Mus musculus: one gene and its partner. The protein of the gene in region 1 interacts with the protein of each later gene in a biochemical or structural test. Links are inferred from orthologs where the notes say so. Each region holds a gene or a part of one and is shown in the gene's direction. Other genes may lie near its edges.

The links. The genes of interacting proteins can lie anywhere in the genome.
Region 2: the proteins of Nedd4l (region 1) and Ube2e1 form a complex in vitro, tested with the Homo sapiens proteins (2 studies listed by BioGRID). The link is inferred for Mus musculus from reciprocal best matches to the Homo sapiens genes NEDD4L and UBE2E1.

The regions. Positions count from the first base shown.
Region 1 is NC_000084.6:65,159,971-65,163,882, forward strand, and holds part of Nedd4l (E3 ubiquitin-protein ligase NEDD4-like), read left to right. Parts: intron 1-1,544; coding exon 1,545-1,680; intron 1,681-3,024; coding exon 3,025-3,201; intron 3,202-3,912. UniProt on the Homo sapiens protein: E3 ubiquitin-protein ligase that mediates the polyubiquitination of lysine and cysteine residues on target proteins and is thereby implicated in the regulation of various signaling pathways including autophagy, innate immunity or DNA repair.
Region 2 is NC_000080.6:18,284,513-18,287,232, reverse strand, and holds part of Ube2e1 (ubiquitin-conjugating enzyme E2 E1), read left to right. Parts: intron 1-1,964; coding exon 1,965-2,097; intron 2,098-2,720. UniProt on the Homo sapiens protein: Accepts ubiquitin from the E1 complex and catalyzes its covalent attachment to other proteins. Catalyzes the covalent attachment of ISG15 to other proteins. Mediates the selective degradation of short-lived and abnormal proteins.

The DNA.
Region 1 (3,912 bases):
ATAATAAAATTTATTTAATTCAGATTTTAGTAAATAAAGAATTATAATTTACTTGTGGATTAAATAAAAACTAACTTTCACAGTACCTCCTGTAGCCCTAAAGTTGATAGTGCAAAGATGTTTGATAGAAATAGTTGAATATTCAGACTGTTGTCCTCCGACACTGTGGCTTGTTGAGTCTAGTGGCTATGCAGAGGCCCAGGGGGCTCTTTATTTGGGATATGAGTGAGTTTGAAAGTACTGGAAACTTTAAATCCTTACTTTAGAAAGAATCTATAGCTAGGCTGTCTATTAATAGTATATCTATCAGTTCACCGGAACTAAATTTCTCAACCATTTTGGAACATTAACCAGCAACTGAATTTGCACTCATTAGATGTGGAGTCAGATCGAGACGCGTTTGCAAGCGCCTGGGAAGGACCTTTAGATGTGTACTCCAGACACGTAGCAGAAATTTCCCCCAAAAGACCGTCACCTGTCATGTACTGCAAAATAGTTTTAACATACAGTCAATTCAATCATCTTTAAGGATAAGTTCTTAACTCGGATTCTAACTTAAAATCTTTAGTCGACAATACAAATGAGATGTGACAGCTCCATGTTCTTATTACAGGCTTGTTTGGGAAGTCAGCCCCTGCTCTGTACTCGGTATTAGAAGCAGGGTGCTGGAAGGTGGTTGCAATCTTAAGATGTGAGGTTTTTGTTAAAAGGAGACAGAAAGCAGCTAAAAGTCAAGTCACACACCACAGGAGATGTCCCCTTGGGACCACAGCCCTTGAATTTGTGCCGTTAGTATCCTTCGGTCAATTACTGATGACCCAGATTAGCTGCTTGGTCCCTGCTAGGTAGGCCTAGAAGGGACCTGCCGACTGCCTGTGTGAGCTTGCTTGTCACTTCCTGCCAAAGGACTGGCTTGTCACAGACTGAAGGGCCTAGATTTCTCTTCTCAAATACTGAAGCTTCATCTCTGAACAGCCAACCCTGTCCCCACTGCCTCCACACCTGTGGGTTCAGCTGACCATAGAACATAACTATCGGAGACGTATTAGGCCTGTACTGACCCTGAGCAGTAGTCTGTCTTCGTCATTCCCTAGACAGTGCAGGATAAGTTGTTTGTGGAAGATTTCCTTTGTGTGAAGCATTGTAAGCCATCCAGCGGTGATTTAAAGTACACCAGAATTTGTGCTGTGTGTTCTGTTAAATCAGCCATTCTGTTATAGGGATCGAACATGTAGGATTTGAAGTCTGGGGGATAGGGAGGGCTCTGCAGCCAATCCCCCGTGGATGCAGGAGGATAGCTGTATATGTCTGAAAGATGCTCTAACTCTTGTACAATACACTGAAGCTGTTTTGGGGGGCTAGGGTGAGTGTCAGTGGGGTCTGTCCTGAAGATGGAGGAAGACTTCTAGTATTGGTTGCTTGTTCCTATCATTGTTTGACACAGATGTCTTAGTCGGTGCGTGGACCACAGTGAGGGTTGGACTGTCAGAGGCATGGCTCTGAATACCCCTTCTCTTCTTACATCCCCCCCGCCCTCCTTTCAGGGATGTGTCCTCGGAATCAGACAATAACATCAGGCAGATCAACCAGGAGGCTGCACACCGACGCTTCCGCTCTCGGAGGCACATTAGTGAAGATTTGGAGCCTGAGGCCTCTGAAGGCGGTGGAGAAGGCCCTGAGGTATGATGTCCAGAGATGCTGTCGAACTAAGTAGCTCCATCTTCCAACGTTCCCCAGGGTGATTTTGTACCTTATTTTTTTCCCCTCTCGGTTAACTGTGTATTGCATGTGACGATTGCAGCCTCATGACTAACTGATTTCCCACCTGAGTATTAGTGAACTTAGAAAACGCTTGTGAAACCAACGTTTGACCAAACCCAGTGACTCGTAGAAATATCAAGGGGAGAACATGATTCTGGTGTGAAGGTCTTATATGCCACCCCCCCCCTGGGCCCCCGGGGACCTAACCAATCTCATGACACAACACTAAAGTTGTCATTTTGAGGAATGGAGGGAGCTCAGTCACTTGTCTGGGTCTCATGGGCAAGTTTCTAATGAGTTGCTTGACATCTTGGGAGAGATTACCCAAAAAATGTACAATCTGAGTTGATTGGAATATTGATAACTCTTCTCTATAACCAGTTAGCAATGTGTTACTGGAAAAAAGAGATGAAGTAAGCAACAAGTCAGAAGTGATCTTAACTTGATGCTGATGACTGGTCCTTGGCTTGACCTCGTGTTAGAAAGGTCATTCACAAAAACCTTTCAGTGACCAGCATTAGAACAGCAAGCTAGTGGTTTCATAGTAGGGCCACTGAACGTTCTGCAGAACTAAGCCATTTTAAGAAAGAAAGAAAGAAAGAAAGAAAGAAAGAAAGAAAGAAAGAAAGAAAGAAAGAAAGAAAGGAAGGAAGGAAGGAAGGAAGGAAGGAAGAAAAAAGAAAGAGAGAAAGGAAAACTATATGAGAATTGCTTGTAAATTCTTGGGGTGTTTCTAATCCATTTGTAACACAGGCTGGCAAAAAGCTGCCACGGTGGGGTGGGCGTGTATGTTGACAGGAGTCCATGGCGGGGTGGGCGTGTATGTTGACAGGAGTCCACGCGATTGTGGCCACTGGACCTGCCTGCCCCCTCACACTATGTTCACATCTTTATGGACTGCTCACTTCAGAAATTTGCTCGCTCTGAAGTTTCCTGGCCTGTTCATTGGGGCAAAGGCCCTTGTCGTCCTTGTGCTGATCCTGAAGCGTTTGTGTCTCGTGCTAAGTAGGGGTTAATCAAGAGTCTTCTACTCCCAGTCAGTTCTGGCCCTCCGAAGAGTTTCCCTCTTTACCTGAGGCAATTCTATATGAAAATTGGCCCTGGCAGGTTGGGGAAAACAAAAAAGTTGTTCTTTTAGAAAGAAGGGGGCGTGTCACCAGCCTTTTCTTGTTTGATGGTTATGAATGTTGTGTGTTTTATTAGAAGGTAGACAGGTAATTTCCCAGATCCTAGCACTTATCCTAGTGTCTGATTCCTCCATAGCCTTGGGAGACCATTTCAGAGGAAATGAACATGGCAGGAGATTCTCTCAGCCTGGCTCTGCCCCCACCGCCTGCCTCCCCAGTGTCCCGGACCAGCCCCCAGGAGCTGTCGGAAGAAGTGAGCCGAAGGTTGCAGATCACTCCGGACTCCAACGGGGAACAGTTCAGTTCTCTGATTGTAAGTCATGGTATTGTTAGAAAAGCTGGACACCGGTGGTCAGTCCTTTGTTGTAGCTTCTGAGGATGTTCTTCTATGCAGATAATAACCAAGGCCATTGGTTCTTGACCTACAGGTCATGACCCATGTAGGGGTCAAACTACCCTTTCACAGGGGCCACATATCAGAAATCCCACCTATTGGATATTTACATTATGATTCATAACTGTAGCAAAATTATAGTTGTGTAGTAGCAACAAAATAATTTCATGTTGGGGTCACCACAGCATGAGGAACTGTGTTAAAGGGCATTGGGAAAGTTGAGCGCTACTGGCCAAGAGTGTTCTACTTCCAGTCAGTTCAGGCTCTCCAAGGAACTTCCGTCTTTACAAGAAGGAAATTTAGCCCTGGCAGGTTAAAAATATATATATATATATATTGCTCTTTTAGAAAGAAGTGGCATGTTACCAGCTTTTTCTTGTTTGTAAAAAATTCAAAGGAATAAGATTCTGTGGATTTTGTAAGTTCTAGCTTTAGCCTTGTAGGATCTTGTTCCTGTCCAAAGACTCATGAAAACAGTGTCTCTGCCATGAGGCCATTTCCTGGTGAGAATCCGGAGCCCCAGAGCCTCCCAACCAGTCTTGTAAACTCCCACTCTCCACACCTCTACCTTCCATCTCACAAACAAGGAGAACGGATATTTAAGTGATTGTCCCTGGCAAAGCCCTGGCA
Region 2 (2,720 bases), on another chromosome or scaffold:
GAAAGTTGGTTCTGTCCACCATGAGGGTTCTGTGGATTGAACTCGGGTCATCAGGTTTGGCAGCATATGCCTTTACCTGCTAAACCATCTTGCCAGCCTGACAATGAAGAGTTTTCTGTGGCAGTTTGGTAGAATAGTGTTGATTGAACTTTAAAGGCCTTAGCTCTCCTCTGTCACTTCGGGACAAGATATCCAAGACTTAAGTGCTAGCAGTTTTAGTGCAGTGAGGAACCATTTCTTAGTTTCCAGACAGCTGTCTTGTTGCACTAATCCTCGGCAGGTAAGAAGCAAATGTTCTGGTGGTGAGGTCTTATTTAGGACACTAAGCTTATACATAATGACTTCTACTTTCTTGACCTGACTGTCCCCAAAGGCCCAACCTCCTAGTGACCATCCCACTGGAAGCAAGGGACACAAACAGGCTAACTTTTGATAATTGAGAACCCATTCTGTTCTCAGTAAACGAAGAAGCAAAGGTAACTTTTTACTAGGGGGATCATAGTATATTCCTAGGAGAGAGCTGGTTAAGATCTTGTTGGAGGCTGGAGAGATCACTCAGCAGTTAAGAGCACCTGATTCTCTTCCAGAGGATCCAGTCAGTTTCCAGTATCTGTGTCAAGCAGCACACAACCACATGTCACTCCAGCTCCAGGGATCTCATGCCCTCTGACTTGTAAGAGCAGGCAGTGTGGGGGCGGGGGGGATACACAAATAGAAATAAATCATTTTTTAGTCTTTCCCTGTACCCTACCTTAGTAGTAAGAAATTACTACTACAAAGAGTATTACTACTCTATAGGTCTTAGAATCGGAGTGCAAGTTTTACTGCTGTTGCTAAGGTACTTGAATACAGAGCACTCTGGAAGCCAATGCAATATTTTAGAAGGATGGTATAGCCGAGTAAGGGTACAACCAAGTATATTGTATTTAACAAGAATGGGGTTTGGTTAATGGCTAATGAAAGTTCGTGTTTAGTTTAACACTGAAGTGAAAACTGATTACATCATTGACATTCGCCTCTCTCACTCACTAATTTTTATAAGGTAGGAAGTATAGGCACCAACTTGGAATTACCCATGACCCAGCATTTGTGAGGGCTGAGTGACTTTGAAGACAGTTTGAGCTACTCTGTCTCAGAGGGCCAGAAGATCTTCTAGCTAAAGCAAGTGTGTGTGTGTGTGTGTGTGTGTGTGTGTGTGTGTGTGTGTGTGTAGGCTGGCTGGAAGTCAAATGTTGTATGTCTTTATGTCAGTGTGGAGTTTAAAACTCTGCCAAGTACTTTAGTTAGGGCAAAAATTCTTGTTATTTACCAGAAATGATGCAGCAATGAGAAAACTTGTCACTGAATGAAAAATGAGGACATGATCACTCCTAGGTATGGTTAGATTTTATTGTAGATAAAGGGGAGAACAGGCAGAGACATTGGGAGAGTCCAGACTGAGCCAAGCTAACAGACTGAATGGAGTTATTGGGCATGGGGATGGGGAGGACAAGAAAAGGGGGGTGGGGCAAGCTGACCAAGAGTGAAACAAGAGCTCAAGATTGCGGTGTGGACCAAGAGAGCCATAGTCAAAATAGCTGAGCAGTACAATGAAGAGAAGGTGGGGGAAGGGAAGCAGAAGCCCTGTCCCCAGGTCTCACCCTGGCCTGGGTGAGAAGTGTTTGGAGAAGCCACAGGTACTGAGATTTGCCCTGAGTTTCTTTGAATCATAATAGTCAGCGGCTTATATTCTAAGAAACGAATCTTTAATTGATGTTTACCTTACGCTTGAGAGTTGAAGAAAGTTCATGTCTAGCTGCAGCTAGAGTGTTTAGAATGGGTCTGGTGTTCTTCTGTCCTGGCTCACTACCATATTCTTTATGAAGAGAACCCAGACATTAAACCAAAAGGATAAGGGGAGGGTTTTTTTCCCTTTTCTGATGCAATGTCACCATGTCTTTATCTGCTCCTGTATTATTTCACAGTGCTGGTCCCAAGGGTGACAACATCTATGAGTGGAGATCAACCATTCTGGGTCCTCCAGGGTCTGTGTATGAAGGTGGAGTATTCTTCCTTGACATTACTTTTACACCAGAGTATCCTTTCAAGCCTCCAAAGGTAAGGAGTCTCCAGTGTCTCCTGACATTAACTGTTCCTTGAGAGAGATCAAGTTTTCATTGTAATCACAAAAGCTAGAGTCTTCCATTTGTGTGCTGCTGTCCTGTTAAAGCATGTTAGTAACAGCTGTGTGTACTGCGGTACAGTCTAGATCTGTGTGGCAGAAGAGCTCAGCTTCCTTCTGTGTATTGTTTGCCAGTTTTAAGTGAATGTGATGACTGTTGGTTGGGTTGGCTCCTCAGTAGGCAATAGGCATTTCTAGATGTAAATGCTTAAAACTGTGCTAGTTATTGTCTAGCTTGTTAGATTTTACGCACACTCCGAAGCAGTGTATTACTTCCAGCTAACACAAGAGGTCAGCAAACAACTAACAATCCAAACTTAAGACATAGTCATATTTAGAACATTAAAATTAAGCCAGATGTTACTAGTAGCACATATCTGGAAACAGAAGCAGGCAGAGGGATCAAAAATTTGCAGCTACTTTGGGATATATGGTACCAGACTAGCCTGATCAAGAAAAGAAAAAATGAAAAAAAAAAAAAACCAACAAAAAAAAAAAAAAGAAAAGAAAAAATGTAAAGAAGTATCTGGCAGTGGGTACTGCTGTAAAATGAGATGGA